Linked DNA regions of Alligator mississippiensis. The protein of the gene in region 1 purifies or fractionates together with the protein of each later gene. This does not show direct contact. Links are inferred from orthologs where the notes say so. Each region holds a gene or a part of one and is shown in the gene's direction. Other genes may lie near its edges.

The links.
Region 2: the proteins of EIF4G1 (region 1) and EIF4B fractionate together in Homo sapiens (co-fractionation; 4 studies listed by BioGRID, with this or other methods). This does not show direct contact. The link is inferred for Alligator mississippiensis from reciprocal best matches to the Homo sapiens genes EIF4G1 and EIF4B.
Region 3: the proteins of EIF4G1 (region 1) and EIF3A purify together in Homo sapiens (affinity purification with western blotting; 4 studies listed by BioGRID, with this or other methods). This does not show direct contact. The link is inferred for Alligator mississippiensis from reciprocal best matches to the Homo sapiens genes EIF4G1 and EIF3A.
Region 4: the proteins of EIF4G1 (region 1) and EIF3G purify together in Homo sapiens (affinity purification with mass spectrometry; 3 studies listed by BioGRID, with this or other methods). This does not show direct contact. The link is inferred for Alligator mississippiensis from reciprocal best matches to the Homo sapiens genes EIF4G1 and EIF3G.

The regions. Positions count from the first base shown.
Region 1 is NC_081830.1:83,637,378-83,645,311, reverse strand, and holds the start of EIF4G1 (eukaryotic translation initiation factor 4 gamma 1), read left to right. Parts: upstream 1-4,923; 5' UTR 4,924-5,029; intron 5,030-6,771; 5' UTR 6,772-6,832; intron 6,833-7,934. Other genes in the region: PSMD2 (26S proteasome non-ATPase regulatory subunit 2), read left to right, coding at 100-262, 827-928, 1,034-1,179, 1,512-1,595, 1,879-2,047, 2,464-2,558, 2,654-2,780, 2,960-3,078 and 1 more.
Region 2 is NC_081838.1:9,390,373-9,397,802, reverse strand, and holds the start of EIF4B (eukaryotic translation initiation factor 4B), read left to right. Parts: upstream 1-4,421; 5' UTR 4,422-4,488; coding exon of another isoform or gene 4,489-4,501; intron 4,502-7,222; exon of another isoform or gene 7,223-7,239; 5' UTR 7,240-7,327; intron 7,328-7,430. UniProt on the Homo sapiens protein: Required for the binding of mRNA to ribosomes. Functions in close association with EIF4-F and EIF4-A. Binds near the 5'-terminal cap of mRNA in presence of EIF-4F and ATP.
Region 3 is NC_081829.1:87,766,733-87,774,144, forward strand, and holds the start of EIF3A (eukaryotic translation initiation factor 3 subunit A), read left to right. Parts: upstream 1-4,410; 5' UTR 4,411-4,490; coding exon 4,491-4,539; intron 4,540-7,412. UniProt on the Homo sapiens protein: RNA-binding component of the eukaryotic translation initiation factor 3 (eIF-3) complex, which is required for several steps in the initiation of protein synthesis.
Region 4 is NC_081831.1:22,141,899-22,149,787, reverse strand, and holds the start of EIF3G (eukaryotic translation initiation factor 3 subunit G), read left to right. Parts: upstream 1-4,876; 5' UTR 4,877-4,969; coding exon 4,970-4,989; intron 4,990-5,161; coding exon 5,162-5,211; intron 5,212-5,901; coding exon 5,902-6,021; intron 6,022-6,114; coding exon 6,115-6,203; intron 6,204-6,450; coding exon 6,451-6,510; intron 6,511-6,838; coding exon 6,839-6,943; intron 6,944-7,072; coding exon 7,073-7,262; intron 7,263-7,346; coding exon 7,347-7,454; intron 7,455-7,630; coding exon 7,631-7,767; intron 7,768-7,843; coding exon 7,844-7,889. Other genes in the region: DNMT1 (DNA (cytosine-5)-methyltransferase 1), read left to right, coding at 1-162, 583-724, 949-1,115, 1,317-1,494, 1,631-1,826, 2,022-2,185, 2,438-2,554, 3,132-3,269. UniProt on the Homo sapiens protein: RNA-binding component of the eukaryotic translation initiation factor 3 (eIF-3) complex, which is required for several steps in the initiation of protein synthesis.

The DNA.
Region 1 (7,934 bases):
TAATCTTGGCCTGGTGGGTACAGGTGCAGCCTCCTTAGGGCTGTGACCAGACAGTGCTGGGACAGTGAGTCTCTGACTGGTGCTCTCTCCTCTGGCCAGGTGGCTGGCGTGACGGCCTTGGCCTGTGGCATGATTGCTGTGGGCTCCTGCAATGGGGACGTCACCTCCACCATTCTCCAGACCATCATGGAGAAGTCTGAGACGGAGCTGAAGGACACTTATGCTCGCTGGTTGCCACTCGGCCTGGGCCTCAACCACCTGGGTACAGCTGGGCAGGCAGGCACTGTCTGCAGGCTGGGGCTGGGCTGGTGAGCCCAGGGGAGGGCTGGGGGTGGCATTGGATCTGGGTGGTGAGCCGGGAGCAGAACATGCCTGGGGCTATGTGGAGTGGGGCGTCCCCTCGAATATAGGGCTGGTGTGGCTGCTCTGCAGGTCCTCCCAACATGCTGGGGTTTACAGAGCAGGAGCTTTTAAGTTACACATGCCATACCTGTTGGTTTGTGGCCTGAATGATGGTTTTGCTCTGCTATACCCCATAATCCCCTGCGGTTGCAAAGGCCCGTGTGATTGGGGTTATGAGGGGGCAGCACTGGGGGAGCTGAGCAGATGTTAAGGGGAGTAGTACCCAGGCAGGTGACAAGGATAGGACAAGGTTGGGGGTGTGGGGTGCTCTGGCTTGCTACAGGCTGCCTAAGGTTAGAGAGGTCCCTCAAGGCGAGCTCAGGTGCCCTTCTGAGGGCCTCCAGCTAGGCACCAGCTCCTGGCACCTGCAGAGTCTGTACCCTTGGGCCTGGCTGCTCTCACAGGCCTTGCTGCTGCCCCGCAGGGAAGGGGGAGGCAATCGAGGCTATCCTGGCGGCGCTGGAGGTGGTGTCGGAGCCCTTCCGTAGCTTTGCCAACACCCTGGTGGACATCTGTGCGTATGCTGGTGAGTCCCAGCCCTGCCCAGCAGTGGTGGAGGTTGAGAGGGGGTCGGCTCCAGGACCCTGCCCCTCCTCATAAGGCCAATCCCATGGGCCTCTCTTACCTACAGGCTCAGGCAATGTGCTGAAGGTGCAGCAGCTGCTCCACATCTGCAGTGAGCACTTTGACTCTAAGGAGAAGGAGGAGGAGAAGGACAAGAAAGACAAGAAGGAGAAGGAGAAGAAAGAAGGCTCAGCTGACATGGGGGCCCACCAGGTGAGGCGGGGCATGCAGGGCTTTTGGCCTTTGTCTGCCCAGGGAAAGGCTTCCAGCAGAATCTGCCTGCTTTGTCCACAGGCAAGGGGGGCATGGCTGGTGTCTATTCTGTTCCCTTGAGCTGGGCAGCCCCAAGGGGCAGCTTAAGCCAGCTGTTGGCATGAAGACCTGGCTTGGCCTGGCCTGGGAGGGCTCTGGAGAGAGCCTTCACCCTGGGATGGGGAGAGGGGCAGAGCTGTTGGCCTACTGGGCCTGGTCAGGCTGGGTGGTTTAGGACCTGGTCCGTGCATGCCTTGGCCAGTGCTCAGCCCGCATGTCCGCCCCCTCTACAGGGTGTGGCTGTGCTGGGCATCGCGCTCATTGCCATGGGGGAAGAGATTGGCGCCGAGATGGCTCTGCGCACCTTCGGCCACCTGGTGAGTGATGGCACTGATGTGGGAAGGGGAGGAGGCTTCACTGCAGAGGGAGGGATGGACCTCACAGGGAGCTCTAGGTGTGGGGCAGGAGAAGACAGGGAGTGCCACCCCTCAGCCTGGCACTGCCTGCTCGTGTTTCCTGGGTGCCCACTGCCTGCTCACATCCCCTCCCAGCACTGCAGAGAACTCTGCTAGTCTTGTGACAGGGACTCCCTGGCATGTGTGAGGGATTCAGGGCCCAGCTTGCCACCAGGCTCTAACGTCTCCATCCCTCCCGACATAGCTGCGGTATGGGGAGCCTACGCTGCGCCGCGCTGTGCCCCTGGCCCTGGCTCTGATCTCCGTCTCCAACCCACGCCTCAACATCCTTGACACCCTCAGCAAGTTCTCACATGATGCTGACCCTGAAGTCTCCTACAACTCCATCTTTGCCATGGGCATGGTGGGCAGTGGTAAGGCCCCTGGCACTGTGCAGGAGGGAACTGGGGGGATGGGGGGGGTGGTTACTGTAGTCTCAGCAGCTGGATGCTGGAGTAGCAGGGCTCTCTTTCAACCTTCCTTTGCCTATCTGTTCCTGATTAGCAGAGCCCCAGTGCCAGCTGGGTCACACTGGGCAGATGCTGCCATCTCATCTCACTGCTGGGGGTGGGTCCTGCCCAGGGTGGAGTGGCAGCTGAGCCTGTCCATGTGTGCATGCAGCTGTACTGCCCTGGGGCCCCTCACTTCTGGATACACAGCCCAGAGTCCTGGTAGACCTCATTCCGGATCACTCGTTGGAGAAGTGGTAGGGATGTGTCTGGCATCTGGTACCCAGGCTGGGGCTTGCAGCCTGTTCCTAGCTTCCTGCTCACCCCTGGTTCCTGTGCAGGCACCAACAATGCCCGGCTGGCAGCGATGCTGAGACAGCTGGCCCAGTACCATGCCAAGGACCCCAACAACCTCTTCATGGTGCGGCTGGCTCAGGTAAGTGCCTGGAGTTGGGTGTCTTGGGGCTCAGAGCCCTGCCCAGGGTGCTGGCCTGGGGCCCCGTCCTAATGCACCTTCCTTTTGCTGAGCAGGGGCTGACTCACCTTGGGAAGGGGACCCTCACCCTGTGTCCATACCACAGTGACCGGCAGCTTATGAGCCAGGTGGCTGTGGCGGGGCTGCTGACTGTGCTTGTATCCTTCCTGGATGTGCGCAACAGTGAGTATGGTGGTCCTTGCCCACAGGGCACTTTTGGGTCTGAGGGAGGGTACCCAGCAGAAGGTTGTGCGTGGCTCAGCCCCTTGCTCTTTACCCTTGATGAGCTGGGTTGTGCTGCTCAGGTGGGTGGGTGGCTTTGGCTGTGTCCTGCAGGCTGTAATGCCCCTGTCTCCCTCCAGTCATCTTGGGCAAGTCACACTATGTCCTGTATGGGCTGGTGGCCGCCATGCAGCCACGAATGCTGGTGACGTTCGATGAGGAATTGCGGCCTCTGCCTGTGTCGGTCAGGGTGGGGCAGGTAAGAAGGCAGTGGGGGAGCTGCTGGGTTCTGAGACTGGAGAGGTGATGGCTTGAGGCTGAGGGCTCCAGGTTGGTGCCATGGGGCTACCTGCAGCCCTAGCAGCACCTGTCTTGGCCTGGGAGACTTGAGCTCGGTTGTGGGTATCTGTGGCTGCCTCCATGTCCTCGATGCTGACCCTCACCCCCTTCTACAGGCTGTGGATGTCGTGGGGCAGGCAGGCAAGCCAAAGACCATCACAGGCTTCCAGACGCACACAACGCCAGTGCTGCTGGCACATGGGGAACGGGCTGAGCTGGCCACAGAGGAGCACATGCCTGTGACGCCCATCCTGGAGGGCTTCGTCATCCTGCGCAAGAACCCCAACTATGATGTCTGAGCCTGGGGCTGGGGTGGGGCAGGGGCTGGAGGGGGGTGGGGAGGGGGAGGGGCAGGGGCATGTGCTCAGCTCCTCGCTGCTGTTTGTTACTGAGGAGCTGGTAGGCAAATAAATCTATGGGAGACATAGGCTGCCAGCTGGTTCCTCCAGGTGGGGTGAGGCAGACCTGGGTGCCTGGGTCCTGGCAGCTGGGGTCGGGTGGCCTGTGCTGGCTGTGGCAGGGGGCTGGCAGGCTCTAGCTGGAACTAGAACCTGGGAGGTAGCTCCGTGCCCAGTGGCTCCCCTGCCTCCTAGCAAGACGCTCGGACTGGAGGCCTGGGGAGACAGCAGCATTTGATGCCAAGTGTGGGGCCTGGCTTGAATTGAATTCCCAGGGCATCTGTCTAGCTCTGGTGCCATCGGGCACCTGTGAGGGAAAGGTGCTGGCTCAGGGCTCCTCCTGGTGCCCCATGCAGGATGTCTCTTTGCACCCTGAATGCCCCTTCCCCCTGCGCAGCAGCTGCCTGCCAGGGGCGGTTTACCCCGATGTGGTGATGACTGACCATTCCTGTCCCAAGCCCCATGTGGCGGCTATTGAGCCTACTCTGCTTTGCCAGGCTCCTCACTTGAGCACAGTAACTAGGCTGAAGGGGACAAGAGGCTGCTGGGCTGATCCTAAACCCTCCTTGCAGGGGGGCTGGGGCTGCTGCCAGGGCTTGGGGGGGGGGGGGGGGGTCGCTGGTACCTGGCTGAAGGTGGGGGCTACAAAGTTGAGCTGAGGGTGAGGCCTAGGGCCAGCCTCGCTCTCTAGTTGCTGCCCCCAGCCCCAGGGCAGTGGGGGCTGCAGCCCTCCCGTGCGCCCTAGGGGTTGCTGCCTTGCTGGCAGATGCTTCCTGCGTGTCCACATCCCTTAGTGCCGCCGGCACCTCATCGGCCCCGGCCGCGCTGATGACTTTAAGCCTTCGCTGCAGGGCTCGTTCCTCGCTCCCAAATGCAGCCAGCTCTGGGGTGGGAAGCGGCCGCTCGTGCCCCTCCCTCTCCCTACCCTTCTTTCTCTATCTCCGTCCACTGCCCTGCAGGGAGCAGGACCCAGCTCCTTGCTGCAGTGGGACCACCGCCGGGTGCTGTTGCGGCTGCCCCCGGCCCTGCGAGGAGCTGCAGGCCCGGTCCGCTGCCCGTCGGGGGCTGGAGGGAGAGGGGCCGACCAGCCCTAGTGCAATGGACGCCAGCCCAGATGCCTCCGGGGCAGAAGACTGAGGGACAGGCCTGCCCTGGGCGCATCCCGCTGGCTCAGGCGGGGGCGGGAGTCGCGCACGTGCCACTCACGTGGGCGCGGGCCGGAAGCGGGGCGCATGACGCGATGACGCCACGTCCCGGAAGGGGCGGGATTTCGGGGCGGGTGTGGGGTTGTCACGTGACGAGGGCCGGTTTCCCCCCAGCGCGGCTTCGGCGGCGCCACCCCGTCCCCCGCCACGTGGCCCGGCCGCGCCGCCCGCCCCGCCCCGCCGCCGCCGCCCGCCGAGCGGTCCGGAAATGGTCGTGCTGCGCTGCGTTGCGGCTGCGTCGGGCCGCGCGGACTGAGCCGGACGGAAGGTACCGGGGCCGCCCCCCTCCCCCACCCCCGCGCCGCACCGGCCCCCCTCTCCTCTACTCCCTGCCGGCCCGGCCGCCCCCACCCCCCCTCGCCACGTGCGGCCCGGCCCGGCCCGCGCCCCCCCTCCCCCCGCGGGGCCCATTGTCCGCGCCCCGCCCCACCCCTCCGCCCCCCCCACGTGCGCGGCCCGGCCCGGCCCGGCCCCACGTGCGCCGCCGCCCGCCCGCCCGCGCCCCATGGCGGCGCCGGCAGTGACACGTGTCCTTGGAGGCCGCGGCCGCCTCGGCCTCGTGCGCGCGGTTCGTCCCCCCCCGCCAAGGGTTAACCCCCCCGGGCGGGTACGAGCCGGCGGCCGGGCCGGGAAGCCCGAGGCCTACAGCCGGGCCCAGCTCCCTCGTGGCGCCGCGGCCTAGTGAGAGCGGAGGCCGGGCCTGTCCCGTGCCCCCTCCCCCGCTTCCCCGGCGCCTCCCCGGCTGTCCCGGGCTGGGGGCTTCCTGGCTGCCCGAGTGGGATGCCTCGGCCCCGGCTCCAAGTCGTGCTCCCTCCTCCCCTGCGCAGACCCGCGGGAGCGGGGGCGCTCGCACCGGGGTCCGTGGCGGGTGGGATTCACCCGCGGGCGGGGGGCTCTGGGCATCCACGGGCCCTTTCGGGGGTGGCGGGGGCAGGCGGCACGTGGCCGCGGTGGGGTGGGTGCGGGGTCGAGCTGCGGCGCTGAGGAAGGGTCGTTCCCCGCGCGGTGCCGGGCCGGGGGCGCTGTGCCCGCCGGCCCCGGGCGTGGGGCGAGGCGGTGGGGCGCAGGGAGCTGGCGCTCTGTGTTTGTTCAGCGGGTGGGCCCGTCTGACGGCGTCCCGTCTTGGCCCAAGGGCAAGGGCCTGGCGGGGGCCGAGAAGGCGGCACTGGCTGCTGGACGCAGCTTGGCAGGCCCCTAGCAGCGCAGGTCGGGGAGGGGCTGGTGCCCAGGGACCCATCTGTGGCTGCCTCGTCTCGCCCGCCGTGGCACGGGCCTGGTGGGGTGTGCCCAGGTGCCGGGCGCTGCGTGGGGACCCCAGTAGACGGGCTCGGGAAGGCGACTGGGGTCCTGCCCCGGGGAGCAGGTGCTCTCCTGGATCGTTTTAGCCCAGGTGCTGCCCTGGCACAGGCTCCCCGTCCTGCCAGCCCAGTGCTTGGTGCAGACCAGTGTGAGCAGGGGCTCCCAGGGGGTGCCCCCTTTTCCACCCCAGGGGCGTTTGCTGCCTTTTCCGCAAGGGGAAATCTATCGTCAGCCCCTCTGCCCTGCTCCAGCTCCCCCAGGGGCCGTGGTGTTCGGGGGCAGCCCCGCGGGGGTCTGTCCGTGCTAGGGGCAGTGTCTAGGCCAGGTGGGGGAGGTCCGGCCTTGCTGCTCGGGAGCAGGGAGCACCAGGCCCGAGGCTGCTCCTCTCCGGCGGGAGTGACTCATGCGTGGAGTTTCGCCGACAGGTCGGGGCAGCGCGGGGAGGCCACATGGCTCGGGCGGGGGTGGGGTTTCGGGCGCTCCCGGCTGCTCCGTCTGCTTGTGTGTGTCTCCGTCTCGGTGCCTCTGCACTGCAGCAGACTGCGATCCGATCCGACACCGCGCTCCTGCCGCCAGGGGGGCGGGGGGCTCTGCCCGGCTGTGCCCATGTTAGGTGCGCGGGGCCCTCCCCGGCGCGGCCCGGCCGGCGGCTTTGCAGCCTCATGGTGTTTCTCTCCTCTTTCTCTCCCATCCTCGCTCTGTCTTTCGAAGCCAGTCGGATGCACGGTCTCTGCAGGCCCGCTCAGCTGGCCCGAGTCTTTCCCGTGGGGGGGTGAGTATGGCCTCGCCCCGCGGCATGGGGGGGGGCTGCGGTGGGTCGGGGATCTGCGTGCCTGGTGGGGGAGGGGACACAGCTGTCTGGGTGCCGGCAGGGGGCTCGGGAGCGGTGTTACAGAGGCAGGATCTCTGCTGGGCTCCAAAGTCCCTTCTTCCAGCAGCAGGCTTGTGCAACCAGCAGCGAATGCACCCCCCACCCCCTGCGTCCGCCTGCCTGGGCGAGGGCTGGGGCCTGGGCACGCACGCTGGGCGCCCCGCCAGCCTGTGGGCATGCACACCAGGCGCCCTGCCAGGGAGCCCTGCCCCAGGCACGTGGGGGAGGGGCTGGGGAGTTGGGGCAGGGGTGAGGTTAATCCCACCTGTGACTTGGCCCCAAGGTTTAGGCTGGGGACAGGGTCATGCCTGTGTGTCTCTGCAGGGGGGCAGCATTGGGCACCTCAGGGGCAGGAGCCAGCTTTTCCCCCCCCGCCTTCCTGCTCCCAGGTGCTGTGATGGGGTGTAAACACCTGGCTGGGTGGCATGCTGTCCTTGGCCAGGGGCTCTTTTCAGTGACCCTGTGGGCTGCTTGGCTGGCTCTCACAGCTTGGGCATCTTCGTGCCGTCCTCTGCCGCGTTCCTCCCGGCTGCAAGGAATTCAGGGGCTCAATCTGAGGCTTGTGGGGTGGGGGGGCAATGTTGGATGCGTGGGCTGGTGTGGTTGTACAGCCCCCCCCACTGTGCCCTTTGCCTGCCCCAGGCAGGTGGCACCAACCCAGCATTTCCCAGAGCCCCTGGCCCGCAGCAGGTGCCAGGCTCTAATGCTGGGGGGGTTTCGGGGCAGGGAGCTTCCCTGCCCACATCCCCTACGCTGTTGTGGGGTAGGAGTTGAGCCTATCCCTCCTGCTGATGTTGCCCACTGGGTCCCCTCCAGGCTCCCTGGGGTGTGTAGGGCTGGGCTGGGGGTGCTTGGCCAGGGCCTGGCTGCCTCCACTGGGAATGCTGAGGCCAGAGCATCGGGTTACAGGCAGCCCCTGTTTGTTTGGGTGCCTGGGCAGCCAGGCCTACTCTGCGTGTGGAGGGGCCCGAAGGCTTTCTGGCCCTGGCCTTAGCAGCAGGGG
Region 2 (7,430 bases), on another chromosome or scaffold:
AGACCCTTCAACCACCTTGGACACCCTATTGCTGACCTGAGCATGGCTGCTTTTAGGTAGCAAACCTTTAAAAACCAATTTGAATGGGAAATTGGGGAATGAGAACTCGCCCCAGACTGGACCGGTTAAGTGTGCTTTAAACAGAGACTTCCTATCCCATGACCTGGGTTAGCTTTTGTGACCCCCTTGTTACCTGGGGTTTACTGCTTGTCTCTCCCAGCACTGCCCCCTCTCCCTCCCTCCCTGTCTTTTGTGTTCAAATCACTGTCTCCATTTGCTACCCTGCACAATGCCTGTCCTGTCACAGCATCTGATGAGGTGAGCCTGGGCTCATGAAAACTGGCACTATATAGGTAATACCTACTTTGATTAGTCTGTAAGGTGCAAGTCTACCCTGCCTCCTCCATGTGATGCTGCCATCTCGTGGCAGGAACACTGAGTGAATAGGGCAGCTCCCTGGAAGAAGCACAGGGACTGATACAGTGCAGACAGTCAAAAAGCCTGAGGCTGAATCAATTCAATCTTTGCGGGTTAGTCTAAGCTGCGTAGATTGAACCAAGAAGCAAGTGAACAGACATGCACTGTTGATTCCAGAAATGCAGCCACATGCCTGCAGTGGCCTAGGCCAGAAGCAGGGTGGGGGGCACTAAAGCATCCCTCCCTGCTCAGTTTGAGCAGACAGCTTGGGCCAAGCCCATCCACATTGTGAGGTGGGGTTTATGCAGGAGGTGCAAAGCATCCTGGGATGCTGGGGGACCATGAATTAACTTGAATTGGAGGGGATCTGGGACAGAAGTTCAATAAACTGATTTAACGAAAATCGGTTAAGTCTGATACCACATCCATGCAGGTTTAAACCAGTTTCAGCCATTTCTGAAAGCGGCTTATGTGCATGAACTTCTGTTGTGTTACAGATTTGAACCAGTTTCCAATCCTCTATACCAGCTTATATGTAAATTCTGTTCCTAGCCTATCGACCACCTCCTATGGCTCTGCTCGTACACCAAGGAGGTGTAGAAGCAGCTCTGTGAAGCAGTGACTGGTTGGACAGCTGTCAAGAGAGGTGGCACTGTACCGACACCTAACTAAACACCAAGGGCGCCCATCAGCCCGCTTCGATCAGTTTGTGTCCTGCGTCAGGAGCGCCCTGTGGAAATGCAGGAACATCCTGATGTACAGACACACAAACCTCGAAGTGGTAGACTGCGTTAAAATGGCTTTGAGCAAACTTCAGTCCTACTACCAGAAATTGGTAGCAGAAGACATAGCCAAATCCGCCTGGCAGAGGGACACTCGGCATAGGATCTTTCAAGACCTCCCCAGTGGGAAAACAGACAGTGACAGAGAAGAGGACATCAAGACAACAGGATCAGAAGATAGCAATGAGGGCAGCAGCAGTGACAGCAGCAGCAGGTCCTCCAGCAGAAGCAACAGCGAGTGAACTGAGTTTTAAACCCTGTATTCAGGGACAGGACTAAGAGACAAGGGTTTAAGAGAGAAGATGCCTTGCAGTCGGGTGTACGGGAGCACTATCCTATGGGTGCAGTATATTGTAATGGTTGCGCGGTACCTATGGTGGGTTAAGGAGACAATGATCAGTGACTAGAAGGTGTGTGTGTGTATGTAGATAGATAGATAGATAGATAGATAGATATAAAACCTTTATTATATACAAGACACATATTTTTACCAAAAAAATAATGTTGTCCCTACCCATAGTGACTAGTGAGTAGTTGGAGGTATTCTCCTATGGCTGTCTGTCCTCCTCCATCCACAGGTCCCCGGGGGGTATACGAAAGGGCTGTCCAGGCTGTCTCCGATGCACCAGTCAGGCAGCATCAGCACAACAGGCTCCCTTTCCATGGCCTAAAACAGTGATTCTCAACCAGGGTGTCTTCAGATCCTTTCAAGGGTGCTGCGGGGTGCCATGCAGTGTTAGATGTTCAAACGTGATTCATAAGATGAACCCAGAAATTTAAAATGGGAATTCATAGCATTAAAACCTGTTGTAGTCTCTCTGTTCTTTGCAATGGAAGAATTGCTTTTTTTTTTTGTAGCCAAAAAGCGAGTGAGAACCAGAGCTGCCATCCTCGGAGGGGTGCCTTGAGTCTAATGAGGGGTGGCATGAGTCTAACAAGGTTGACAACCGGCGCCCTAGAGGAAGATATCACATATGATGATGCATATCCCAGTAACAGTGATGGGCACTTTGTGAACGCGGTGAGATGTCAAAGAGCTGGGAATGTAAACAGACCAGACAGGCAGGGGTTGGGGCAACACTGGAGCGAGGGAGTCATTCATGTCTCGATGCCCCCAGGGCAGTGCCCTAACTGCTACACCCTCTTGCCTCCCAATTGCTTTCATACTTGTCCATATATGCCATGAATGTCATAGCATTCATGGCATATATGGACAAGAGCATAGCATAGGCAAATGTTCCTTCCCTATTCCCAGTCCTCGCCCGTGCCTGGAAGATCATCCCTATAGAAAACACCAGCCTCATTTAATCTGCTGGATTATGGGATTATGGCATTTGGGACAGAAAATAACACTTCTTCATTAATATTTTCCACCTACGTACACTGTATCATCATCTCGAAGTATTTCAGTGTGCATCCTAGCCCATTTATCATCATTAACTTTGTTCTTAACCCCATTTTACAGCAAGTCTGGCCCAAAACCAAGAAGGGAGTCGCTGCGAACAGAACGCAGAACAGCCCTGTCCCGTCTCCCTCCTTCAATTGACGTGTGATCACCCCTTATTGCATCCCAGTTTGTTCGGGATAAATCTGCAGCCAGAAAAGGGGCTGATAGAGGTTATTTCTTTCAAAAGAGGACGGGGGTCTTGGACATTGCCAGCTCCTTTAAGGCAGATGGCGAGAACCCGGCGGCGTGCAGCGTTCTGCAGCGGTTGGGCCGAGATGGGGCTGTCCCTTAGCAAAAACCGGACGGCGCCCGGGCATGGGGGACCCGGCCAGAAACCGGGGACCAGGGAAGCAAGGATTACGTGGCTTCCCTCTCACCTCTGCATAGGTAAGGGGGGCCGAATCCAAGAGACAGGCTTCCTTGGGATGGGAGGGATCGGGGAGGCCGGGACGCCTGGGTTCTAGTCCCGTGTAGTCTCAAGGCAATTACACATCGCCCTGCCTCAGTTTCCCCATTCGTAATAATGGGTGCACGAGAAGAGTCAAGCTTGTGTTGCCAGCAGTAATAGTAAGCACAGTCTGGAGAAGTGGGGCCTTTGGAGACTCTTGCTCATAAATAAAAAACGGGGTTGGGCATCTCACGGATGCTCGGGAACAGCGGGCCCACTCCCTGCTGGCATCGAAAGCCCTCATTTTGGGCTGTCATGGTCCAGCCATGAGCTAAGCAGGGCTGGCTGGGCCCGTAGGAAGGTGGAGAGCTGCACACCACAGAGGGGGCCAAATTTGCTTCCAAGCCAGCTGTGAAGCGTCACCCCAGCACCGTGCGGCTCTGCCCCTGAAGCCCCAGTGCGGTGCCAGGGGCAGGGCAGGAGTCGTGCTGCAGCCGGGGCTGCTTTTCGGACGAGGGGTAAAAAACTGTCACGTCCCCTGGCAGCCGATCCCATTCTGCCGGCCATCAGGGGCTGTGGGAAGACTCCCGGTGCCTTGGGGAAGCATTAGCCTTGCCCCCGGGGGATGACCCTTCGCTTCCCGTCCTAAACGGCCGGGCAAAAGCAGGCGAATGTGCCTCCTCCGCAGTGCCAGGAGCTCCACGCTGCACCCCGCGCGGCGCCACGGGCCAACACGGCGTCAGCGAGCCAAGATACGTAGGTCGGCCTGACCGTGCCACAGCGATGCGGCACGCTCGGACGGGGAACGCGGGGCTGGCAAAGCTGAATCCCTGCCCCGCCACCTCCGCTGGCCCAGGAAAGCCACAGCGGGCAGGGGCACGACTGTAGCGGTCCAGTGTGACCGGACTGGTTGCACTGGTGCAGTGAGCCCAGGGTCCGGCAGCCCCCACCCCAGAGCTGGCTGCAGCGCCCTGGGCTCCAGCTGCCCCCTTCCCCCCCTAAACTGCCCCTGGCTGCTCTACTGCCCCCAATCATACCCCTCCCATCCCCAAACTGCTCCTGGCTGCTCTACTGCCCCCATAGCCCTCTCCCCCCCAAAACTGCCCCAGCTGCTCTACTGCCCCCAATCACAGGCCCCCTCCAAACTGCAGTACTGCCCCCAGTCATCCCCAATAACTGCCCTCTGGTGCAATTAGCTGCCCCCTCTCCCAAGATGCCAGGGGAGGGGGGGGGAGGCAGAGAACCCGGCGCGGGCGGCGACGCCAAGCCGAACCCCGCGCCCTCCCTGCCTCTTTGCTGCCCGCCCGCAGCGCGCAGCGCCGCCCGCCTGCCGCGCCCCACAGAGCCGCCGCGCCGAGCCGAGCCGAGGCCCCGCCCCGCGGGCGGGCGGGCGCGCCGCTATAGTCACGTGACGGCCGCATCCGGGTCCTTTGCCTTCTCTGCCTCGGCCCAACATGGCGGCGTCAGGTGAGTGCGGCTCGGCCGCCGCGGCCCAAGGCCCGCGCCCGCCGCCCTACCGGCCCCGCGCCCGGGGGGGGCCCAGCCCCGCGGCCCCCCTTCCCCCCCACACACCCTCGGGGCCGCATCCCCTTCTCCCGGAACGGTTTGGGCTGGCGCCGCGGCCGGTGATTGACGGGGGGGAGGGGGGGCGGAACCCTTGGGCGCGCACTGCGCAGGCGCGGGAGGGGGAGGGGGCGGTGGAGGAGCGGCGCCCACGTGGGCGCGGCCGGGCCCCGCCCCCCCCCGCGTGGCCTGGCCTCGTGGCACCCCGGACCACCCCCCCCCATGTGCACCCCCCCACCGGTCCTCCTTGGTCTCGGGGCCTCCCGTCCCCCCTGCCCCATGCTGGGAGGTCTGCGGGGGTTATCCAAAAAAAACCCCAACCCCTTGAAAAGGTCCCTCAGGGCTGGGAGAGCCTGGAGTCGGCCAAAATAGCCAGTCGCATCTTTGTCCCACGATCTCCTACGCACCATCGGCTTTCACGCTTCCTGGCACTGAGTTTGCACTGCGAAGCGCGGGGTCTACGAAGGTGTCGGGGTCACGCTGCAGCTACCTCGTCTGAGCCCCTCTTATTTTTATATTTTTTTGGAAGAAGAAGAAACTCTCTTGTATCCCTCCCCCCCCCCCAATTGCAGTTTCCCGCTGCATAAGGCTCCCCTGATGTCATTTCATTCGGCGCCCCGAAGAGAAGTGGCAGAGCACGCGTGCTTTGCATTGTGTTTCTTGTGCGCAAGGTGGAACCGGCGCAGGGGAATGACGCTGGGGGCGGGGGGGGGGGGAGTCGAGGCATCAGTGCAACGGATAGGGCCGTTCTCTTCCTTCCCTCAACTGCTGCTAGCGCTCTTTCCCTTTCTGGCCAAAGCGCACGACGTTTTTACTGCAGAAACATTGCTCTCGCTATGTGACGGCAATATCCGGGCGCGTGGATCCAAAGTGCGATTTGCCGGCACTAAAACACCCTTCAGTTCACAGGCGTCATCTGGAGTTCGTGCTGCCAGCGGAACTGTAGAGTCCCATATTTCCTAGCTAACAGCAGAGGCAGGAGATGCACCTCCCTTTTCCCTTGGTGCCTGCACAGGCGTGTTTATAGCTGATCACAGTGTGCGTGTGCATTGGTGGGACCGTCAGAGCAGAAGCTGAAGCCAAACCCAGCCATTAGCTAAAGATCAAGAGGGAAAGGAGAGAGAGAGAGAGAGAAAAAAAGCTCTCGGGGCCCAAAAGCCATGGGCTTAGTATATTGTACGAGTACTGTCATATGGGTCTAGCTGAACCCGGAATATTATTCTCAGGCTTGCTTGGGAAAACTTCATGGGGTGAGTAAAAAATATGTTGCTAGCTTTTCCATTGCTATAGTGAAAGATGAGCATTAGGTTTTATTCCTACTTGGGTCAAGTTGCTCAGTAATTCCTGAATGAGCACTGATAAAAACAGCCCTATGTTTTTGGAAATGCAGGGTGCTCGTAGCAAGTGCCTCTACATCTCGGCGGGAATGGCAGTGTCAAGGAGGTATGGTTGTTGGAGATAACAGTGGGGGAAGTCCAAGGAGGATTTCATTTGACCCATCTCCTTTATCCTTAAGCGTAGATGTTAAGGAAACATCCTGGAAGGGCTTGGCCCTCACAAGATAAATGGGGAGTGGTTGAGAGATGGCTGCCTCCTTGATAGGAGCAAAGAGGATGTTGGCTGTCAGAAAGCCTCACCTGCCTAGGAGGGCTGCTTCTGTCCAGTACCTTTCCTTGCCTTGGTCTCTCCCAGCCCCTACAAGGTTGTGACAGCTTTGGTGATGCATAAGCAGTGCACAGCCTCCTGCAACAGAAGTTGCTTCATACTGTTCCTCTCCTGCCTGTGACTTGTCAGCCATTTGATGCAAATTGAACAAACAGCCAGCCTGCAGGGTTTCTGGAAAGGCGGCTGCTAGTTAGCAGCCCATTTGCCAGGGTTTAGAAAGCCATCTCCGGCACTCGTAGGTCTGGGTGGGAAGGAGGGGGTGTCTGAGCGTGGAACGCACCTTTTAGCTTCTCTTTTCCAGCTGCACTTGCCTGCAGCAGGAGGGTTCTTCAGCTTCCTTTCTCAAGGCAGGCACTGCAGTAGGTCACTGCTGCTGATCAGCCAGTTTTTATCCACTGCTGACGTCATATTTCCATGAGTTTACCCTTGGCAAACTGAACTTTAACCATTCCAGAGGGCTAGCCTGCTCTTCCTTCCCAGCTCTTGGAGGCTGCAGCGCTTTACCGGTGCCTAGATTCCCCGAGAGATGCACCTTTCTAAAAAAAAGCTCTTGCAGCCCCTGTTTGTATTTCTTCAGCAGAGGCTTCCCCATGGCATCCTGGATTGGTGGAACTGCTGCTCCCCAGAGCCTTTTGCAGGAAGGGGAGGCACTTGAGACCATTGCAGTTTTTCTCCTTCACCTTAAGCCAGCTCTTAAGAACCTGGGATGTTTTTTTTCTGGAAGCCTCCAAAGCTGCAGAGTGGGGGCAGCATGTGGCTTCTATGCGACTTCCTTAATGTTCTGCGACTGAAGCAGCTAATGCATCCGCTGAAAACTCCTGAATCTTGCCCCAGGTTGGACATTTCAGTCTGATTTATTTTTAGCTTCATTCATGCAACCAGCAAGACTTCTTAGCAATGCTTGCCATGCTAATGTGTTGCAGGAACTGGGAAGGTAGCAGCAAGGCAGGAAAGATGCTTGGTTTTTCTTTTTTCAGTGCAATAGGAAGATTCTGCCTATACAGTTTGGAGGGGAAAGAAGCATCTAAAGGACTGAATTGTTGCAGAGTCGCACAGACTATAAAGGTGGTTGTTATTTTTACAAATTCTTTATGCCTTAAGCTGATATTGTAAGTGAACTTTGAAACTGCTCCAGCAACAGTGCTTGTGCAGATGTGTAAGGGCCCAA
Region 3 (7,412 bases), on another chromosome or scaffold:
TGCTTCAGAAAGCAGCAATGCACAAGCACTTCAGACCACACCCAATACAATATATCAGGCAAAGCCTCCCCACATGACATCAGTGGAGATATGTACAATAGATTTTTTTCATGATAATGGTTTAAATAATGTAGTGCAGGAAAATCATTTAAAGCAGGGGTGTCAAAGAAACAGCCTGCAGAGCCACATCACTTGGTCTCTGGTGCTGGCCCCACATGGAGCAAATCCAGGACCCTCCTCCCCCCTGCATCCCAGATCCAGTGCCTGTGGCACCCACTCTGACTGATCTGGGATGCAAGCCACACATGGTGCCCACTCCAGCCAGTCTGGGCCAGGTGCCATGCACAGTGCAAGTCCTGGAGTGGGCTCCATGTGTGACGCAGTCCCAGACCAGCCAGAGCAGGTGCTTGATCTGGTATGGGGTGGGGAGGGGGAGAGGGTGGGTCCCCCTGCATGCTAGATCTGGTGGATGCTCCAGCCAGTCTGGGACCCACTATGCATGCAGCATCCTCCCTGGACTGGCTGGAGTGGGCACCATTTGCAACTCATGAGCCAATCTGGCCAGATCTGGTGCCAGGTGTGGTGCAGTTCTAGACCAGTTGGAGCGAGCGTCATGGGGGGACCCACACCATGGATAGCCTTCATCTGGCCCAGTGTGACCTTACACCATGGATAGCCTTCAGGGCCAGGTGAGTTTGACATGTCAGCTTTAATGCAACTGTCCAGGTTGCAAAGTAAAGTGAGAAGAGAAGACATCAATTTATTACACCAACTATTGACTCAGTATCATGCAGCTTGTGTGATATGAGTCTGAGGCAGACAAGGGCAGATCCAGGGAGGAGGCGCAATGGTGCAGTTGCACCCGCCTTTGAATCCTGCTCCACCCAAAGTTCAAAATGAACTGTTTGGCAGTGGCAACAGCATTTCTATTCAGGCAGTGCTGAGGGAGTCAGTTGACTTCCTGGCTCATTATAATCTACCACAGGGGTTTTCAACCCTTTTTATCTAGTGTACCCCTTCTGTCTCAAAGTTTCAGGCAGATATAAGGCTACACTAATTAACATTAAATGCAGAGGGAGAAAAAATTATTTGGGGAGACTGAGCGTGCGTGTGCATGCATGCACATGTCCCACCAGTAGTAAGCCTGTCGGGGAGGGGAAAAGGCTGGGGGAAGGGGGGTGCAGATTGAGCCCCCGTGGTAAGGGAGGGATTGGGGCACAGACAGGGGCTGGGGTGAATGGGGCCCCAGCCAGGCTGGGTGGTGGGACAATCAGAGCCTGGGCAGCTTGTGCAGGGGCATAGGGGGGCTCCTGCTGCTGCACACACCCCGGCGGAGGCCTGGGGGGGTATGTGCCCTCAGATCTGTGTGGGGTGGAGGTGGCAGCCACTGTGCGCTGAGCTTTGTGTACACTGCAGCTGCCCCTGGAGCTGTGTGACGCCATGTGCATGGTGGGCAGGGGGTGGGCAGAGGGAGCAGTGCGGCCCAGGCACATGGCATTGCAGTACTCCTGGGGCAGCTGCACTTATTTGATAAAATGTACGCTTATTAGATCAAATTAAATGCAATAAAGTTAATAATTTTAAAACAGTAATTTTTTCTCATTTGTTCTGCATACTCTGTACGACCTTTTTAAGTATCTCTAGGGGTATATGTACCCCCAGTTGACAACCACTGTAGTCTACCAAATCTGTTCTGAACTCTTCATTCCACAAGTGTTAACGACCCTCTCTCCTTCATAATGGTCTTGATGGTTCCCTAACCAAGCTATTCTTTCTTCTGCAATTCTGCTCTCAGCTGCTCCTGTAGCTCCTGTTTCACAGCCCTGCAGACTGTGTTTAGCTGGAAACATGAAGTCAGGGATGGAAATAACTTGGCACCAAGCAGAGAAGGTGCTGCCCAGATGCTCGAGGTGAGGCTTGGTTTTATGTATCTGAGCAAGAGAGGGACATTTCAGTCTCATGACATGGGGTTGAATGAAACAGCATCCTTTGAGAATGTCTTGCCTGCTCTGTTGTGCTTTTGTCTCAGAGCTGCAAAGCGGGGGCCTACTTCATGCCTGCCTTGTGCTTTTACACATTATACCCGATGCAGCAAATGAAGCACACTGCAATACAACGGCTTCTCCTCCTTGTACCTTGAACAGGACAACAGTCTTGCCCCTAGCTCCTCTTGGACGGAGAGCAAGATGCATTGGGTGCTATGGGATGATGTCCTATGCATGCCATCCACACCCCCCTTTTGACCTGCCCCCAGGCCTGGGGGCTGAGCCACTAACAGCCGCAGCGGAGGGGGATCTGTGCCCTTTCATGGCCCCTAGGGGCGCTTGGGACTCAGCACCAGTCAGTGTTGCCAGGTCTTAAATATAAAAGTATTGGAAGCTCAAAATGATCATATTTGATGAAAAACTATTGTACACGGAAAAAAATATGCATATAAATTTGCAAATAAGTTTGCAAATAAGTCTTATTTACTGTATATTGCTCATTGTAACACTCTAGAGAGCAAGTAAGAACTGGGTCATCGAAGTTGAAGCGTGTCTTCAGTTGAAGGCCAGCAGTCAACAAAGTAGAAAGTTGGTTATTGCTTCTTGAAGACTCAGATCAAGCATAATGGCTTCTTAACCTGGCAGGGGAAATACCATGTATGTGTCTGAGAAAGCAGTTTTCCTGAGATGCTCTGCTCTTTTGGAGTGGTTCAGTACCCGCCAAGGTACAGCGGCTTTAAACCCAGTTTATGGAAATGGGAGTCTCCTCCCTTGCTTGCTCCGAAGGCCCTATGGCTAAGGGCAAGCAAAACTCAGAGGCATCTAGTAGGATGCCCGCCAAAGGTTTTGGAAACATCTGAAGCCCCAGATGGGGGTAGAGGATGTTTGCTGGCAATAGGGCCGCTTATGGTTCTGGACTGGCTTTTGGATTTGAAATTTGTTTTGGCTAATTTGGCTTGGACCATGGAAAATTTAAATAAAAAAAGACTCCCTGAGAGTGACTTGGCTGTTGCATGCTGCGTCAACGAGCTGCCTCCAAAAATCGTCCATTTTGCGCACTGTTATTAGGACTGATCCTGCAACCTAAAAGGGTTGAAATCAGTGGGGGCCTTAGGGTTGTTGGGCAAGGGCCTCTTCTTACCCCTTAGAGGTACGCAGGTAAATATAACCCTGCAACAGTTGTATCGTGGATCTTTTTAATATTCGTTGGGGGAATCAAATAAATAGTCAATGCCAATAGAGCCACTTCCTTGCAAAAATTTCACCTTCCCCACATCCCACAAATCTGTTGCAACATTTTGGGGCCTCCTAAAATGTGCCCCCCCTCCCAAGTCTGTTGCACCATTTGGGGGCTGTCTAAAGCGTGCCCCCCTCCAAAAAAAATTTACTGCAACATTTTGGGGCCACCTAAAGCGTGCCCCTCCAATCTGTTGCAACATTTTGGGGACACCTAAAGTATGCCCTTACCCATCCCCCCCAAAAATCTTGCAACATTTTGGTGCCACCCAAAATGTGCCCTCACCCCCCCCCCCAAAAATCTGTTGCAATATTTTGGGGACACCTAAAGTATGCCCTTACCCATCCCCAAAAAACCTTGCAATGTTTTAGTGCCACCTAGAATGTGCCCTCACCCCCCCCCCCCCCAAAAAATGTTGCAATATTTTGGGGACACCTAAAGTATGCCCTTACCCACCCCAAATAATCTGTTGCAATATTTTGGGGCCATCTAAAGTGTCCCCCTCCCCTCCAAAAAAAATCTGTTGCAATATTTTGGGGACACCTAAAGTATGCCCTTACCCATCCCCCAAAAAAACCTTGCAATGTTTTGGTGCCACCTAGAATGTGCCCTCACCCCCCAAAAAATTGCAATATTTTGGGGACACCTAAAGTATGCCCTTACCCACCCCAAATAATCTGTTGCAATATTTTGGGGACACCTAAAGTATGCCCTTACCCATCCCAAAAAAAACCTTGCAATGTTTTGGTGCCACCTAGAATGTGCCCTCACCCCCCAAAAAATTGCAATATTTTGGGGACACCTAAAGTATGCCCTTACCCACCCCAAATAATCTGTTGCAATATTTTGGGGACACCTAAAGTATGCCCTTACCCATCCCAAAAAAAACCTTGCAATGTTTTGGTGCCACCTAGAATGTGCCCTCACCCCCCCAAAAATTGCAATATTTTGGGGACACCTAAAGTATGCCCTTACCCACCCCAAATAATCTGTTGCAATATTTTGGGGCCACCTAAAGTGTCCCCCTCCCCCCCAAAATTCTGTTGCAAACACCAGTGACGAAGCACTGGTTGAGACGCCGGCGCACACACGGGAGCCCCGCCCATCGGCCCGAACTCCGGCGCGCGGCGCCAAGGGGCGGGCTTTCCGCTTCCGGACACGTCAGCGCGCGGGGGTGGTCACGTGACGCGCTCCCTTTCCGGCCTGCAGGCTGCCTGGCTGGGCGCGCGGGGGAGAGGCCGCGCTGAGGGGAGCGCGCCGCCGCCATCATGCCGGTCTACTTCCAGCGCCCCGAGAACGCCCTGAAGCGGGCCAATGGTGAGTGCGGCCGGGCCCCGCGGCAGCCGGGCTCAGGCCCCCTCCCCCGGCTCGGGCCGCGTGAGGCCGAGGCCTGGCACGAGGCGCCGCCGCCCCGCCGGCGTTGCAAGGCCGGTCCTCACGTTACCGCCCGCCTGCCCCCGGAAGGGCCTTCCCTGATGGAGCGGGTTGGAAATGCCACGTGCGGGGCGGGAGGGATCAAGAGGATCCTGCATCGCCGTCTCCTGGCCGTCCTCCAGCGGCGACACGTCGTGGAGCACGTGCTGTCTGTACTCACCCGCTTGAGCCCTTTCCCCCAGGGCACCTCGCGGGGTTGCAGTTGGCAGGATTTAGGGGGTGACGGTTTGGCTCGTCATGGCATTGCCCCCGTGACCCACGTTTGGGTCATGACCCGGGTTGGGGGGGGAGGCAAATGGTGTAAATTCCGCAGCTCAGACCTTCCTCGCCTAATGAGGGCCTTGAGGGAAGGTCGCAGCTGTGTGGGAGCCCCGCAGAGGAGAGGAGACCTTTCTCAAGGCTATCCACAAAATCGAATCGTTGTTAATTGTCAGTGGACATGTCACGTTCCACCTGAAACCTATCGGAAAACAGCACGTTACAGCGTACTGTTTGTACTTGATCAAGTGAAACTTAAGGAGGTGTTCGCATTGTTGTACTTCAGTTTCCGAATGGTTTCACTCCCTAGAGAGGGATCGAATCCCGAAGAAACAAAATTGTGACGATTTTTGAGATCCGCATAAAAACACAGGGTGCTTTTTCTTCCCAAGCATAGTTGGAGAAAACCCCTCTCAGTCACTGCCCACACCTGAGCTGTAAGGAGCTGGATTTAATAACATTTGTGGGAGAACACACTACATTTCCAGGCTTGTCAAAGTCCATCTCCACCATGTTCTTCATCTAATAAAAGATAACACTCCCTGCCCAAATCCCTTGCCTCTCACAGTTGTGGTAAGAGCTTATGTGACAAATAGTATGTCCGTGGTCGTGTCAGGGGTGCTGCTATAATCTCTGCTAGTTTTCCTAATGTCTGTTCTGGCTAGATTTGGGCCTCCACCAAGTTGCAGTTCTGTTTAGAAAATCCTGTGAATAGTTATAAATACACCCCTTGTCTTAGATAGCTAATAGTCTTCATTAGGTGATATAGTTGGAAAGACCAACACAATCCACAGTCAAGTACTAATATTCCATTACAGGATTAAGTATTTAAATTTAAGTATTAGTAGTTGTTAGGGGTGCACCGATAAAGATTTTTTGGGGTGATACTGATGGCCGATGTATTAACTAGCCATATCGGCTGATAACAATCAAATAGCTGATTTACAGGAGCACAACCCGGCAGCTTGGAGAGCAGCCTGCTGCTGGTAAGTCTGGGGTGGTGGGGAAAGGGCCGTGGGGGAGGAATATTGAGGCTGCTACGGTAGGGAGGGAGTGGGGCATGTACAGGTGCTGCCCAGTGAGGGCAGGGCACAGGGTGGAGCTGCAGGTGGCTCGTCTGTGCAGAGGGGGGATAGCTTCCTGCTGCTGTGCACACCCCCAGGGGAGGCATGGGGGGCATTTGTCCCACTGGATTTGTGTGCAGGATGAGGTCAGGCTGCCTGCTGTGGGCTCAGGGCCAGGGGCTGTGTCAGTTTCTTCTGGTGGGCAGGTTGGGCTTGGGGTGGGCGGGAGCAGGGCAAGCTCCCTGCAAGTGATACCAAAGACTGGATGGAGCGTGGTGGAGGTGAGGCCAGCACCATTGGCCTTGGGTCCCTTGCCCTGCTCCCTTCAAGTGGTGCCAAGGACAAGAAGCGGGGTAGGGCTGGACACAGGGAGGCTTTGAGCTATTGGGCCCCAACTAAAACTGAGAGGGAGGGAGGGGAGTGGGATGGGGGGCATGGTGGCAGCGCCTTGCCGCTGCCACAACCTGACAACAGCCCTAAAGGGGGCGGGAATCAAGCCTGGCCCCAAAGTGGCAGGGGCCAAGGTGTGGGGAGCAGGCTCCTTTGCCTCTCTCCCCAACTGAATGAGAAGTGAGGGCAGGGCCGAATGCGGGACTCTGTCCCCGCTCACCATGACAGCGAGGAGTGCGTCACTGGGCCCTGACAAAAGCCAGTGGGGGGAGGGGCACGGTGACAGCGCCCAACTGTTGTCAGGCCCTGCCAACAGCTGGCAGGGAGTGGGGAAGGATGGCAGGTGGACATGGGCCAGGCAGACCCAGAGCATGTGGATGGTGGGGAGTGGCACCGGAGTGTGGGGGTGGGGGGAATGGGCTTGGATCGGAAGCGGTGGGAGAGTGGAGGGAAATGGGCCCAGACCTGAAGGGGAGGTAGGGTGGGAACCGACCTGGATTTAGAGGGTTGGGAGGAAGCAGGGCCGGACCTGAAACATGGTTTGGGGGAGCCAGACACAGGCAGGCCTCTGTCTTTGTGTTGTTTCTCCTCCCCTGCCCCCGGGCGGCAGTTGGCTAGTTCTTATATAATAAAGGGCTTAGTCCATCTGTCTGTCTGTCCGTAATGCTCTTGAAGCACTCTGATTGGTTGTTTCACTAACCAATCAGTGTGGAGCGCCGCCATGACGGCAGAGACGGGGCGGAGTGAGGCCAGTGTTGCTGGCTTTGCCCCCCCCTGCTCCATCCCTGCCATTATGGTGGTGCTCCACTGCCTCAGAGGAACAGCGGGGCAAGGCCAATGGCACTGGAGTGGGCAGTGGTGTGGGGTACTGGCGAAGGGAGATGAAGGGAATGGCAGGGCAAGCTTCCCCCCCCTGTTTCTCTGGAGGCGGTGGTGGGTGGTGCTGCTGCCAGGGGTACACTGATTCAAAAGGTTGAAAACCCCTAGTCTAAATTGTATGTTAGGGTGTAGCAAAATTTGCAAAACAATTTTGTAGTGCTGTAT
Region 4 (7,889 bases), on another chromosome or scaffold:
GGCCGGCGAGAAGACCAACACTCTGGGCCAGAAGCTGCCACAGAAAGGCGATGTGGAACTACTGTGTGGTGGCCCCCCCTGCCAGGGCTTCAGCGGCATGAACCGCTTCAACTCCCGCACCTACTCCAAGTTCAAGAATTCCCTTGTTGTCTCCTTCCTCAGGTGGGGGGGCACTGAGGCTCTCCTGGGGTGAGGTGGATGGGAGGAAGGAGTCTCCAAGCTCCAGCCCGAGAGAGGCTGGAAGGGGACAGATGTAGCATGTCCCTCGCAGTCCCAGCACAGCTGCCAGCAGTGCATCTGAGTCTGCAGCACGGGAAGGTCCATGTGACATGAGAGCTTGGCCTGGGGAGAGCCCCATGGCCCTAGCCCCTGCACATTGCACCCATGGCCTAGCACCGCCCTGGGGCCTCCTGTATAACAACTGAGCTGGACCCCTTGGTGTTGTAAGGGTCCCTGGCACTGTATGAGCCCAGAGGTGCTTGGGGGGTGGCAGGGTGTGGGGGCAGGTGAGGCTACTCACTGGTCATGGGTCCCGGCCCAGTCTCCCTGCTGCACTGTCCCTGCTCCCACCTGTCCCTACAGCTACTGTGACTACTACCGGCCCCGCTTCTTCCTGCTGGAGAATGTGCGCAACTTTGTTTCCTTCAAGCGCTCCATGGTGCTCAAGCTCACGCTACGCTGCCTCGTGCGCATGGGCTACCAGTGCACCTTCGGCGTGCTGCAGGTAGGAGTCTGGGGCCTGAGCAGCACTGGCAGGGCTCCATGAGGCTGCCCTGGGTAGAGGCTCTGTCAGGTTCGAGGCCCTTCTGCTTGGGGCGTAGGCTTGGGTGGAGATGTCATGTGTCCACTCAGGCACCTGCTTCCCTAGGGGGTGAGTGGGTGTGATGTGTAGGGGTGGAAGAGCCCAATGCCCTGCTGGAGCTGGCTCTGGATGCCCCCTCCCCACAGGCCGGCCAGTATGGTGTGGCCCAGACGCGCCGGAGAGCCATTGTCTTGGCTGCGGCCCCCGGAGAGAAGCTGCCTATGTTCCCTGAGCCACTGCATGTGTTTGCGCCCCGTGCCTGCCAGCTCAGTGTTGTGGTGGATGACAAGAAGTTTGTGAGCAATATCACCAGGTGAATGTGGGTAGCCATGGGGGCGGGTGGAGTGGGATGGGGCCCATGGAACCAGTGCAGATGCTCCTGATTTCCCTGGATATCCAGGGAAGGGCATGGCAGGTCCATAGCATGGCACCTTCCCCAAGTCAGAGTTGTGGGGCTGAGGGCAGTTAGGCCATGACTGGTTGCCTGACTGGCCCCTCAACCCCTCCGCCACAGGACGTACTCTGGCCCCTTCCGCACCATCACGGTCCGGGACACCATGTCTGACCTGCCCGAGATCAGGAACGGGGCCTCAGCACTAGAGATCTCATACAATGGGGAGCCCCAGTCCTGGTTCCAGCGGCAGATCCGGGGCTCTCAATATCAGCCCATCCTCAGGGACCACATCTGCAAGGTGAGGACTTTTTGGGTAGCTGTGGTTGTGGGGCAGTGTCTGGGGGTCACTCAGACCAGAAGCCCTGTGTGGGATGGTGCTGGGCAGCTAGTGTCAGGCTGCAGGGAGGTAACGGGGCTCGAACTCGCTGCTGCAGGACATGAGTGCACTGGTAGCAGCTCGAATGAGGCACATCCCCCTGGCACCTGGCTCAGACTGGCGTGACCTGCCCAACATCGAGGTACGGCTGTCGGACGGCACCAGCACCCGCAAGCTGCGCTACACGCACCACGAGAGGAAGAATGGGCGCAGCAGCACCGGCGCACTGCGGGGTGTCTGCTCCTGTGCCGAAGGTACTGGGGGTGGGCAAAAAGCAGACGGGGCTCTGGCCCCATGCCCATCTTGGCTTAGGGGCAGGTGCAGGAGGCCTATCTTGGCTTAGAGGCTGCTTGGCAGGGACAAGGGCTACTCCCTGGTTTTCTGCAGGTGTCTGTGCCCTCTGCCTTAGGTAGCCCAACCCAAGTATGTGCTGCTTTTCCACCTCCCAGGGAAGCCTTGTGACTCTGCGGACCGGCAGTTCAACACGCTCATCCCTTGGTGTCTGCCCCACACGGGCAACAGGCACAATCACTGGGCCGGGCTGTATGGGCGCCTTGAGTGGGATGGCTTCTTCAGCACCACGGTCACCAACCCCGAACCCATGGGCAAGCAGGTGCGTATGGTGGTACCTGGGCAAGCAAGGGTGGGAGAGACGGATGTAGTCCCTGTGGGGCTGAGAATTGCCCTTCCATGGCCCATGAATGCAGCAGGAGGCCTCCAGGCCTTGGCCCTTGCCCTGGGGTGACCACAGGGCAATTTGCACAGGGGCAGGTGCTGCTGGGCAAGGTGCAGTACCTCTCCTCCACAGCCCTGGCTCCAGGGCTGCCTGCCTTGTGGCTGACCCCTGTCTCCCATCCCCCCACAGGGCCGTGTGCTACACCCTGAGCAGCACCGCGTGGTGAGCGTGCGGGAGTGTGCACGGTCCCAGGGCTTTCCTGACACCTACAGACTGTTCGGGAACATCCTTGACAAGCACAGACAGGTGGGTGCCTCAGATTCTCCCTCCCCACGGTGTTGTGCCCCTGCCCCCTGCAAAGGTTGTCAGGGACACAGTTGCCGAGTGGCTACTGACACTAGGACAGCTGAGCTGCTGCTGCAGCAGCCTCAGGCACCAGAACTGCAGGCAGGGCAGGGTGTGGGTGAGCTCACAGTCCCACATTCCTCTTTACAGGTTGGTAATGCAGTGCCTCCACCACTAGCCAAGGCCATCGGACTGGAGATCAAGATGTGCCGGTTGGCCAAGATGAAAGAGGAAGCCATGGGTACATGCAGCACTGGGTTGAGGGGGAACACCCCTGGGCTTGGGTGGGTGGCCCCCGGGCTTGGGTGGGTGGCCATAAAACTTTGCAGCTGCTGTCCATGTTCTCTGAGGGCAGGACTGTAGCTTCCAGGTCTGCCCACAAAATTACAGGTCCCTTAGAAGCCCCAGACCAGAGGAAAGACTTTTCAAACTCCAGGCTTGAGGGGTTAGGGGGGCTGGCTGGCACCAGAGCCAGTCCCTGGTGGTGGCCATGCCCAGGCCTCACCTGCTGCCTCACTGGCCTGACCTCTTTCCACAGAGAGCAGCAAAGTGGAGAAGATGGAAATTGCGGACTGACACTTGCCCTCCCATCTCCTTCTCCAGCTCCAGGACTCCCAAACATGCACTGATTTTTGTTTCGTTTTGTTCTGTTCCTTGTTTTGGTCCGACATGCTGAGTCTGTTGTTCAGCTGTACCCGTGAGCAGTGTTCGTCTCCCCGGCCAAGCTCAAGGGCTGTCTGTGACAGTTGCGTTCTCAACTAATCATCATTTTAGTGATCAGCTGTGCAGTGCCCCCCCCGCCCCGCCTCCTGTGCATTCTGGATTTAAAGGATGATGTTTTTATTATGCCTTGTATTGAAAATAATCGACCACTTTATACAAGTGGAAATTAATACTTTATGTAGTTTTTATATGTTGTAATATTTCTTCAAATAAATCTCTCCTATAAATTACATGCTGGGGAGAGCTCTCTTCTTCTCTCCCCCCCTGGTTTTTCTCAGCATCTCCCAGCCCTGTGGAGGAGGCTGGGGCCTGACTCCAAGTTGGGGGGCAATGCTGGCTCTAGGCTGTGCTGCTGAAGACAGCTTCTGGGCTACAACCTCCTTTCTGGCCATAGTGGGTGCCATGGAGCTGCTAGCAGAAGGGATGTTCCTCCAGCTCTTGCAGGGTGCAGGGCAAAACCACCCCCAAGTCTCTATAAGAACATAACTGCTGTTTACTGGGTCAGACCACAGGTCCATCTTACCCAGTATCCTGTCATACAGCAAGCAAAGGCTGGAAGGTGGGGGTGAGCAGGTCTGACCAGGGTCTTTTTCCACTGTTGCTTTCTTGTAGCCTCCAGCATTAAGGTCCAGGAAGGTCTGATTCAGAGGCTGTGCCAGTTGCTCTTGGGTTCAATAGCGATCAATGCCCCTTTCCTCCAAGGATATCGCCCCTTGTGAAGCTCAGCTAAACTGTCAGCTTCTGCTGCATGTGTTGGCAACAAGTCCCACCCTTTCATGACATGTTGGGTGGAAAAGTACTTGTTAGTTTTAAACTTGCAAGCGGCTCGTTTCGCATTGTGACCCCTTGTTTCTGTCTGCTGAAGATGATCCCAGTACACCCCCCCCCCCCCCCAAGTGAGCAGGCCTAGCCTCCTGAGTCTGCCCTCACAACGCAGTCCCTCCAGACCTCTCATGCTTACTGCCCTTCTATCTCGTATTTGAGGTGCTGGGACAAGAACTGAGTGCACAGTGAACTTACGCAGGGATCCGATGACACTTCCCGTTCTAGGCACGATGCCCTCTTTCAGAACCCCTTAAAAAATCCTCTGCAGGGGTCAGGACTTGCCTGCACCTCGGGGTGGTTCCAGCTGTTGCCCCGGGCCTGGCTCTAGCTCTGCCCTGGGCTGCAGTTGCCTCCTGAGGTTCCCAGTAGCCCCGGCTCCTGGTTTGTGCTGGCTGGGCCCTGAGCCTGCCCCCACCCCCCTTTAACCCTTTCGTGCCGTGGAAAATAACATTCACGTGGGCTGAAGCTGGGGCGGAACCTGGCCTGACCACGAGGCCTGCCAACGCGCGGGGGAGAGAACTACAGCTCCCAGTATGCAGCGTGGCCCGGGTGCGGTGCTCCAGTTCCCAGAATGCATTGCGACCCCGGGGTCGGATGCTAGTAAGCGTGAGATCCTTCAGGACTACACTTCCCAGAGCGCACTGCGAGAATCCGGCAGTTCCTGCAGGCCCCTCAGCTCCCAAGGCTGCCGCGGTGATTCCTCCCCTATCTCCTTCCGGCCTCTCTAGGAGCGTGGGCAGTGCTCGCTGGTGAGGCCCTTCTGCTTCCGGTTTGTGGCGCGAGGCGTTCGGCGGCGGCTATTGCTGCTGCTGCTGCACAGGGCGCGCGATGCCGACGGGAGACTACGAGTGAGACGGGCGGGGTGCGGGCTGGGCCCGGGGTCCGGGGTTGGGCCTGGGGCGGAAATGAGGGAGGGGCTGGGGGTTGAGGGAGATGTGGGGGGTGCGGTGGCCTAGTATGGGGTGGGAGCGGGGAGGCCGGAGGATCGTGTCCGCGCGGCTCTAACTCTCGCTCCCGCAGCTCGAAGCCTAGCTGGGCCGACCAAGTGGAGGAGGAGGGAGGCGACGACGGTGAGAGGCTGCACCCGGGCTGGACTCCCCTCCCTTTCCCCCCGCACATTCTCCTCCCCCCGGCGCGGACCCCCCCACGGGGCTGTGGGCCGACTCCACCTCCCCCTCCCCCAGCAGACACCTTCGGTCATTGGGATCCCCGGCTCCTTTGCATCTGGCCTCGCAGTCTCCTAGTGCTGGTCAGGTTCCAGCCTAGCCCAAGGGCCCGTGTGTTGCTCTAAGGCCCATCGAGGAAGCTGGGTGCCTGCCCCTGCCCTGGCTCATGGCCCGTCCCTGTGACAGGGCAAGAACCCTTGCCCCCACAACACACAGCCCCCACCCCAGGCCCCTTATCTGATCTGGTGGTGGTCCCACAGTACAGGTGACCTGCTGGGGGGTGATAATCCCCTCCCCTCAGACCCACTCTCTGCTTCCCTCCAACTTATTTCCTGGGCAGCCTGCATTTTTGTAGCTTGTTGAGACCTGGGGGGGTAGGGGGGGTAGATCCTGTTACTAGGGCACCCCAAGCCCCACAGAGCTAAGAGTTCCTGTTATTGCAGTGGCACCCTGTAGGATCTCCAGGGATGGGGCATGAGCACACCTGGCGCTGGGTAGCATTGTGGCACCCTGGCCCTAGCCCATAAGAGTTCCCTGTTCCTTCCCCCAATAAGTGACTGACTAGCAAGGTCTAGCCCTGCTCCTCTTCCCCAGACAAATGCATCACCAGCGAGCTGCTCAAGGACATCCCCCTCACTGCGGTGCTGGGTGGGGACCTGGGTGCCAGTGTTGCTGAGGCAGAGGCCAAGGCCGAGTCAGAGCTGCTGAAAGATGGTAAGAGCCAGGCTGGCTGAGGAGTGGGGATTGGGCACTGCCCCAGGGAGCCCCATGGATCCAGTCATCTCACTGCCTGCCCTGTCCCCTTAGGTCCTCTTCCATCCCCAAAGGAGCTAATCAATGGGAACATCAAAACTATCACTGAGTACCGTGAGGAGGAGGATGGGCGCAAGGTGAAGGTGAGTGCTGGAGGGGTTAGGCTGGGGCTGTCTTGGGGACTTTTTCCCTGGCTGGGGCAAGATTCCCCCAGCCTGAGCCATGAGGGGCATGTTAGAAAGTGTGTGATGGGTCGTGGCCCTTGTGTCCACTGCTCCTGTATCCTGCATGTGGGGGCAGTCATGCTGGTGGGGCACTCCCTGTGTCCTTGGGGTGAATGCTACCCCCCTCATTTCTCATATGGTGAGTGATGGGGTCTTTCTCCCTCAGATCATCCGTACCTTCCGTATTGAGACTAGGAAGGCTTCTAAGGCCGTGGCCCGCCGCAAGGTGAGTGGGCTCCTTGCTGGGGCAAGAGGGGTTAAAATGGAGGGGGTGGGCATTGGAGGGTTGGAATGAGACGGGACTGGGCCTTTCACATACCCAAGCTGCTTGTCCTGCCTTGCTCCCTTTTCCCTCCCACATCTGTCCATGTCCATTTCCTCCCTTTTTGGTGGCATCTCTGCCCCCACGCCCAGGGCTGCTTCTGGTTTGGGTTGAGCCTGTTACATTTAACAGATGCCACCAGGGGGCACTTCTGCCCAGTCTCCCAGTTAGCTGGGTGGGATGAGGTGGAAGGATTTCCCAGCTTGACACCTCCCCTGCCTGCCTCTCCCAGAACTGGAAGAAGTTTGGCAACTCAGAATTTGATGCGCCTGGCCCCAGCATCGCCACAACAACTGTGAGCGACGATGTCTTCATGACTTTCATCACTAGCAAGGAGGTGAGTAAGGGTTGGGGTGGGGTCCTAGGGCAGGGGGAGGGACCATGGGCATCCAGCTGCTCTGGTGGGGGCTTGGGAGCTCCCTGCAGAGGAGTAGTTCCAATGCTGATTCCCCCACGCCTGCTGCAGGACCTGAACTGCCAAGAGGAGGAAGACCCCATGAACAAGCTGAAGGGCCAGAAGATTGTATCATGCCGCATCTGCAAGGGCGACCATTGGACCACACGTTGCCCCTACAAAGACACACTGGGGCCTATGCAGAAGGAACTGGCTGAGCAGCTGGGGCTGTCCACTGGCGAGAAGGAGAAGCTGCCTGGAGGTTTGGGGGTGGGGGCAGTGGGGTTTAGGGGTTCGGGTCCCAGAGGCTCTGGGCTCTTCTAACTTTGCTTCCCTGCCCTTGTAGAGCCAGAGCCAGTGCAGGCAGCACAGAGCAAGACGGGGAAGTATGTCCCACCCAGCCTGAGGGATGGGGCCTGCCGCCGTGGGGAGTCCATGCAACCCAACCGCAGGGGTAAGTCCTGGTAATCAGACCTATGGGCCCCTCCTGGCCCTGACTCGGATGCCTGGGTCCTGCTTCCTGCCTCGGTTTGAGCTCCATCCTGGCAGTTCTTTGCCCAGCAGGGAAACTCTGTCCTGGGGGCTCATTCCCATCGCCTGGGCCTGGCCCTGACTCTCCTCTCTTTGCAGCTGATGACAATGCCACCATCCGTGTCACTAACCTGTCTGAAGACACACGCGAGACGGATCTGCAGGAGCTGTTCCGCCCTTTCGGCTCCATTTCCAGGATCTATCTGGCTAAGGACAAGGCCACTGGGCAGTCCAAGGTGCAGCAAGAGGCCCTCTGGGGTGGTAGGGAAGGGCTTGGCTCAGTTCAGCTCTAACCATGGGCTTTTCACCCAGGGCTTTGCCTTCATCAGCTTCCACCGGCGGGAGGATGCCGCCCGTG